Sus scrofa: one gene and its partner. The protein of the gene in region 2 purifies or fractionates together with the protein of the main gene of each other region. This does not show direct contact. Links are inferred from orthologs where the notes say so. Each region holds a gene or a part of one and is shown on either strand. Other genes may lie near its edges.

Region 1 (3,650 bases), on a different chromosome or scaffold from region 2:
TGGCTGTGCCTAAAACATTAGCTTTTACTTTTCTAAAGAAACAGGAAGTTTTGTTTGTGCTGCTGAGCATCTGTTTGATGATGCTTACACTCTCATTGCTTAGAAGAATTGCTACAAAAAGGAATCTTACAGTGTGACTGAGTTCCAATTTTTATATCTCTAGTTTTCTAAAACACATGTGGTTTTGAAACCATATATCTATACGTATACATACACATACACACATATATTTACATATATACAGGGTTTTTTGTGTTTTTTTTTGTCTGCACTCTTGAATTAAAAATTCCCCAGCCAGGGATTGAGCGTGTACTACAGCAGTAACTCTAGCTTCTTTAATGACAATGCCAGATCCTTAACCCACACCACAAGAGAACTCCATGTATATATACAGTTTTAAAACCAGACTACTTCTCTCAATTTAATGCTAATAATGATTTAAGGTACTCTATGGTGAGGTTCTGCTACACCTCATTTCATGATTAAGTACTTTTGAATCTACCTGATTGGCAGTGAGAGGCATACATTTAATGAATTTGTGAACAGTTAACAATAGTCTGAATATTTTTAACTAAAAACAAGCAGAGGCAGGCAGTCTTTAGGGCTTTTCTAAATTAACACACAAATCATTTTAACATAAATCTGCCCTAGAGTAACCCAGAGGGTCTTATTTAGAGCTTTCATTGCACTTCAGTAGGTGTTTTTTTATTAAAATGTTTTCTGAGGAAGTAGGCAAGAAGGCTTAATGGTTTTTATAGATACTCTTTCTGCAAGAGTGGTGTAGATTGCATAGTAATTTTGATTTTCTAATCCTTGAGGTATTGAGGAAATCAGTATATTTCCTGGTAGGGATCGAACCCGTGTCCTCATGGATGCTAGTCAGTTCGTTAACCGCCACAACGGGACCTCCCCAAGCAATATTTTTTAGAGCTTTGTAGGAACTTGGATCAAATGCTTCTGATTTTAGTAGTTTTAAGCAAAAAGAAATTAAATAGATCTTTACTAAGTCTCTGTTTTTATAGAGTCTAAATTTTTATTTATTTATTTATTTATTGCTTTTCAGGGCTGCACCCGCAGCACATGGAGGTTCCCAGGCTAGGGGCTGAATCGGAGTTACAGCTGCCAGCCTACACCACAGCTCACAGCAAACGCCGGATCCTTAACCCTCTGAGAGAGGCCAGGGATGGAACCCGCAACCTCATGGTTCCTAGTCGGATTTGTTTCTGCTGTGCCATGACAGGAACTCCCTAAATTTTTATTTTTGAAGTTCTAAGAAAATCTATGGTTTAAGTTACCAAGAAAGATAATTGTCTCAAATCCGAGCCAGGCTGTGGAGCTTGCCATTGCCCACAGGCTATTTGTGCACTAACACTAGAAACCTAGGAAAAGTAAATCACTAGAAGGAATTCATTTCCCTCGAAGATAAAGCCAACTTGACTACAAAGTATTATGGTGATTTGGACATAAAGTGTTAAGTGATATTAAAAGAGATATTTCAAAAGTGTATTTCCCTTTTCTCCAAATTAGGAATGGCTTTCAAAAGGACATGGGGAATACAGAGAAATTCCCAGTGAGAGAGACTTTTTCCAGGAAGTCAAAGAGAGTAAAAAAGTGGTCTGCCATTTCTACAGAGACTCCACATTCAGGTAACTTCGTTTCTTTCCATCAGTGACTGTTTTTGGATAAGATGAGATTGTTGGATAGAGATAACTGACCTAGTAGAGAAATTAAGAAAAATAGAAAGGGGATTACTTCCTAAGTTGTTTCTCTGTACTAGAAGTGTATATATTAAAGTTAAGCAGTCATTAAAGGCTTAACTTAGGAGTTCCCATCATGACTTAGTGGTTAATGAATCCAACTAGGAATCATGAGGTTGCGGGTTTGATCCCTGGCCTTGCTCAGTGGGTTAAGGATCCGGTATTGCCATGAGCTCTGGTGTAGGTCGCAGACGTGGCTCAGATCCCGAATTGCTGTGGCTCTGGCATAGGCCGGCGGCTACAGCTCAGATTTGACCCCTAGCCTGGGAACCTCCATATGCTGTGGGAGTGGCCCTAGAAATGGCAAAAAGACAAAAAAAAAAAAGTTTAACTTAAAAACCAGTAGCATATGAAAGTATAAATTATTGGTGATTAGCATTTCCATAGAAGTGGCTATTTTCACTATATTTTTACTAGCTAACTTTAAAGACATCTTAGGAGTTCCCATCAAGACTCAGCAGAAGCGAATCTGACTAGGAACCATGAGGTTGCAGGTTTGATCCCTGGCTTTGCTCAGTGGGTTAAGGATCCGGTGTTGCCATGAGCTGTGGTGTAGGTCACAGATGCAGTTCGGATCTGGCATTGCTGTGGCTGTGGTGTTGACCAGCAGCTACAGCTCCAATTAGACCCCTAGCCTGGGACCCTCCATATGCCCTAAAAAGACAAAAAAATAAATAAATAAATAAAGACATCTTAAAAATGTGGTTAAATTTTCAGTCAATGCCACAAGAATTCTGCTTTTGTCCCTACTCTTATGATATAGCCACAGTGTTGGATTTGGGCCAACACCTTGAACACCAACCTGAAAGTCAGTTACTTCTCAGCTGGCAGTTCATGGGGAGGTAGTGGCTTGACCAAGCCTCTCACCAGAAGCATAGTTGGGACCGCCAAGCTTGGATGCAAGGAGAAGCTCAAGTCTGCCAACCTCTCTTTGGAGGCAGCTCTCTCATAAAGTGAAAATAGCTCCAGAAGAGGTTGTATCTTAAAGGACTCAAGCCTTTTGTTGTATTTATTTTTTTCCTGGCCATACCCTCAGCATATAGAAGTTCCCAGGCCAGGGGTTGAATCCAAGCCACAGCACTGATTTTTAACCCACTGCACCCAGCTGGGGATCGCCTCGAGCCTTTTTTTTAGCCCCCAAATGTGATTAGTTGCCAACATTTTTAATGTTGGCAACTAGTTGAATTTTAGATATATATTTTTTTAAATCAGATAATTGATGGCTGACCTAGGATTGTTTGAGGACAATTTGCAGATCCTGAATGGCTCCTTGTCCCCTTAGACAGGTGCTCATATACAGAGTCTCTGTTCTTCACTCTGCTGTCTCCGCCTGACCCGCTTCTCTCATTTCCATAGCCTGCTTGGCTCTGGTCTTTGCCTCATCACCCAACAATGTGGTTATTCCTTAACACCTTTCAGGGACTGATTGTAGGATTTACTGACTAAGAAAATACAATTAAAGAAAATACTGAGAGGGTGCAATGTTCTCTAAAAGGAAAGTGGGAAAAGGATTAGGAAGGTAAAAAGACATCAAAAAACCTATCTGCCATTGTGGTCCACGGTCACCTCCCACTTCACATTCCTAAGGTGCCAAGCTCAGTCATGTGATGAGGTAATAAGTTATCCATATAAGATTGATATTATTTCTTATTATTAGCTGACTTTGCCCACTGGGTTGTTAGTTTTGTGCAGGCAGAGAGTATGCCTTTGTATTGTGGCCATCCGTGCTCCAGGTTCCCAGCCACAGAGCAGCAGTGGCTACACACAGTAGGTGCTCACTAAACATACTTGATGGATGTATAGACATCACAGCACCAGGAATACTTACCTTAAAACTGAAAAGTCAAGATTTAAATGAGGTGATAGGTAGAGAGGCAGATAGCAGAGGTTGTA
Region 2 (4,215 bases):
TTTTCCCACGTTACTTCCTACCTTTCCCTCTCCCTCTTTTTCTTGGGAAAAAATGCTCTTATCTGTATTTCTCAATCTATTACAAAAGTGGAAACATCTAATTGTTGGATTTGCCACTGGAAATTTTGACCTGTTCATGACAATAGTGACCCTACAGTCCAGCCTATAATGAATATTTTCCACTTTTCCCAAGTGCTACTGCTAATTGCACCTGGTGTTCCTTGATGATAGCTACAAGGTAATAAGACTTTTGAAGCTTCCCTTTTGTCTTTAAGCCTTCACGCCACCTTAAACAAGAACTTCAAGGAGGCATACATGACTTGAAGTGTGGCTCCATAGGGAGAATCTTTCTCCTTTGGGCTGGAGTAAGTGCCAATGAAATTTATGATCAGAGATCTCTCTCTAACATTAGAAGAGCCATCTGATTCCATAGCCAAAGCAATAACAACCCAACAATGATCACTTTACTTGTTTATTAAAGTAATTTTGGGTAACTGCACGGCCTTTGATTATCTGCTTTCTGAGCAAGGAGGCATTTGTATGATAGCAAATACCACCCGTTGAACATAGATAAGTGTGTCTAGAGAAACAGACACTCAATTACACAAAAATGGGGAACAAGTCCATGACTACAACTTTCATTTGATGACCTGCCTGATTTTTTTGGCCTAGTTAGCAGTTACCCTCAAGTATGGGCTCCTGGTTTAGAACCATCATACAAAGTGCTTTGTGTTTATTTCCTGTTAAATCTTTGTAGAAATGACTTACCCCGTAAAGTGATGCTAGCTCAACGCTTCAAGACAATCTCCAATGCTTAAGACCGTGGTAAGATATAGTTTAGATGGAAATGCCTAAGAGTTCGCCCCCCTTCCTCACTGTGGCCTCAATTATTTTAAATCTGCACTTTCCCACATGGGAGATGACAACCAGGAAAGGGTCCTTTTGGCACCAAGGGGAAAGATCTTGATCAAAGGGGGTAAATGTGTGAAATTCCTGTTGTGGCTCAGTGGTAACAAATCTGACTAGGCTCCAAGAGAATGCAGGTTTGATCCCTGGCCTCGATCAGTGGGTTAGGGATCCATCGGTTGTTGTAAGCTGTGGCATAGGTCACAGACAGGACTTGGATCCCACATTGCTGTGGCTGTGGTGTAGGCTTCAACCCCTAGCCTGGCAACTTCCAAATGCTGTGGGTGTGGCCATAAAAAGACAAAAAAAGGGGTGGTAGTGGTAAATGGATACATTAATAAAGGGAACTTTTTTTTTTTTTCTTTTTTTTTGGCTGTGTCCTTAACACACAGAAGTTCCCAGGCCTGGGATTGAACCCTTGCCATAGTAGTGACAACAGTGGATCCTTAACCTGCTGAGGAAACTCCAGGAAACTTCATTTTCAATGGAGTCAGGAAACCCTGAAGGCAGAACTCAACAACCTAGCACTATTTGCAACCTACCTAATCAGCAGGAAGAAGGATGATAAAAATGTTACTTTTCTTCTGGTTGGTACAAGGGAGGACATTTTCACATAGGAATTTTATCTCTAGCTTTTAAAAAAGTAAGGAAGATCACTGCCTGCCCCAGCAACAACACTAACCACTGCTTGCAGCCAATGAGAAATGGCCACATTCTTGAACTCTCCAAAGAACTTTTCTTTAAACAATCCTCCCCAATTTCTTTCTAAAATCTAATAAAATCCCCTCTCCTTTGTTCTCTGGATTTGTCTATGATTCCCCATAGCTTGCTTGTCCCAATTGCAATTCTCTGCTACTCCCAAATAAATCCATCTTGATGGTAAAAAAAACTGATTTATTTTTTGAGGTTGACAATGTATATAAATGTAAAATACTATGTTGTACACCTGAAAAACAACATTATATGTCAATTATGTTTCAATTAAAAAAAGTTTTACAAAACTCTAAACAGCACAAGGAATCTCTACTTCCTAACATCTTTCAGGATCAAACAATTTCTTCCCTCCCCAATTTTCAATTCAGCTACTAAATCTGAAATGTGCCTTGAAATATTTCTTTCTAAAAGGCCCTGTTCAATGAAGTTGGTTGGTTTAGGTCTAAAAATGGAGACTACTCTGCCCTTTTAACAGTTTAGATGTTCAGTGCTTAGGTACTTTTTGAATGACTGAAATACTATTTGCTTCCAATGTTCAGAACCTTTAGTTCAAAGGACAAGTCACGACGGTAATCCAAATACAACTACGCTGTTTTCTAAACCTTGCTCCTCCACATTAACAGGTAAATGCATTCGCAACTGCCTTTAAAGGAACTGAGAAGGGAAAAAGGCAAAACTCACTGACAAATTATGACAACGTGAAAATAATCAGCTGAGCTATCCAGACCAGAAGTTTCTGCATTTCCTGGTGCTTCATCTTTAAAATTGTGTGCTTCTTAAATCAGGATTCTTCCAAATTAAGGCAATCGAGCCTCCATCCCCGTCTCGGCCTATTCGGAACCTGCGCCCCACCCCCACCCTCACCCCCGCCCAGGCCCCGGCAGCCATGCGCCAAAGACTGCAGCACCCAAGCTCGAAGCCCGCAGGCGCGGCGGACCCCGCCCCGCAAGGCCGGCGCGGGGAGGTGGCTAGGGGCCAGGAGCCCGCCTCTGCGGAGGCCTAGTCGGACGCCGACTGGGTGCGCCGGGCCCGGGGAGGGGCCGGCGGCCATGGCGCCGCCTGCGCCCGCCCGCCCCTCCTCGGACCGCTATTTAAGGGGCTCCCGCGTAGCCTCCGCCTCAGTGCGTTACTCACCTCGACTCTTAGCTTGTCGGGGACGGTAACCAGGACTCGGTGTCTACTCCTGTTGCCTGCGCTTGCTGACCGGTAACCACCATGGTGAGTAGACTGCCCACCTCGCTCGGGAAGATGGGGAAGAACGAACCGGGGGAGCTCGAAGGCTTCTAGCTAGAGAGGGCTGGGGCCAGCGCTGTCCACTTGGAGGATGAAGAGCAGGGCGAGAGCCGAGGGTGGGAGTAGATACTGGAGAACCGCTGGGGCCCGGAAGTGGGAGGCCACCTTGTTTTCTTCTAGGACTCTGGAAGGGGATTGCAGGGCACCGGCTCTCCTTCACTGCGGTTGGGGCTCTCCTTTAGCCTTTAACTCCTGGGCGCGGTGCCCCGAGACCCTGCAGTCTTTTCCCGCGTGTTCCCATCCCCCTCTCCTTCCCCCCACCTCTGGCGGGCGCGCGCGCGGGCTCTCCCCGCCCTCACTTCCTCCTCAGCGCTAAAAGCGTAGGCGGGAAGGAGCTCGACACAAAAGCGCAGGCGCGACCGTTACCTTCCCGCCAGGGAGCGGTGGGAAAGCCCGCCACTGCAGAGTGCGCATGCGTGCTGGGGCGCTGCAGGTCTAGGGTTGGAGGGCGTGTCTCCTGCTACCCAGAGTTCTCTTAAAAAAGTGCAGTAATCAATATGGAGAAGGGTTCCTCACCATTGTGCGGCACCACGGCAGTGTATTAGGACAACTAGCTCTTAAGAGCATCTAAAAGCCATCTGTCCTCTTCTGCCTTAGGAATGTGTGTGGGAGCAGGTGGTGGTGAGGGGTTTTGAAGGAACGGAAATCGGATCTTGGTCCAGATCTGGGCCGCCGATAATCCCCTGCTGCGTTGTGACGGATGTGGAGATGCTGGGCAGCGTAGGACGGTTGGCGATGGCTGCGTCTCTGCAGACGTGGCTGTCACGAGCCTTTGCAGCTGCGCAGCTCAGAGGCTGCAGGGAGCAGCGGGGGCGCGCACGCGCGCACGCCCCCTCTGAATTGCTCATTCATGCTGTGCCGCAGAGCTCCGCCCCTCCTCCCTGTGGCCAGACATTTCCTCTGCACTGCTCTGGCCATGTGCTTCCTGAGCTGGGAGCTGTCCGGAAGTCTGGCCACCTCCTCTAAAATGGGATTCTGAGGCCTGAAGGCTAGATGATGGCCTTCTCCCTATCTTGATCCTTCAAAGGAGGAAGCGATGACTAAGCTCTTCTTGGCCTGGAAAGATGCCTTCTCAATTTAGAGGAGAAAAGGAAATTAATCAAAAGTAATATAGATCAAAAGTAAAGACCTTCTTCCCTAGATTTAAAAGAAATACATTTTCATTCATTTCAAAAGAGGAAATTTGTAAAATTAACCATCCATAAGCATCTGTTCTGCTTCTTTCACCACTAATTGGTTTCATCTTTTTTTTCCCTACTTTCTCACAGCGTGAGTGCATCTCCATCCACGTTGGCCAAGCTG

The links. The genes of interacting proteins can lie anywhere in the genome.
Region 1: the proteins of tubulin alpha-1C chain (region 2) and TXNDC9 purify together in Homo sapiens (co-immunoprecipitation; 3 studies listed by BioGRID and IntAct, counting the BioPlex papers as one, with this or other methods). This does not show direct contact. The link is inferred for Sus scrofa from reciprocal best matches to the Homo sapiens genes TUBA1C and TXNDC9.

The regions. Positions count from the first base shown.
Region 1 is NC_010445.4:54,934,742-54,938,391, forward strand, and holds part of TXNDC9 (thioredoxin domain-containing protein 9), read left to right. Parts: intron 1-1,527; coding exon 1,528-1,646; intron 1,647-3,650. UniProt on the Homo sapiens protein: Significantly diminishes the chaperonin TCP1 complex ATPase activity, thus negatively impacts protein folding, including that of actin or tubulin.
Region 2 is NC_010447.5:15,152,139-15,156,353, reverse strand, and holds the start of tubulin alpha-1C chain, read right to left. Parts: upstream 2,836-4,215; 5' UTR 2,755-2,835; exon of another isoform or gene 2,734-2,754; intron 1-2,733. Other genes in the region: TUBA1B (tubulin alpha-1B chain), read left to right, coding at 2,836-2,838, 4,182-4,215. UniProt on the Homo sapiens protein: Tubulin is the major constituent of microtubules, a cylinder consisting of laterally associated linear protofilaments composed of alpha- and beta-tubulin heterodimers.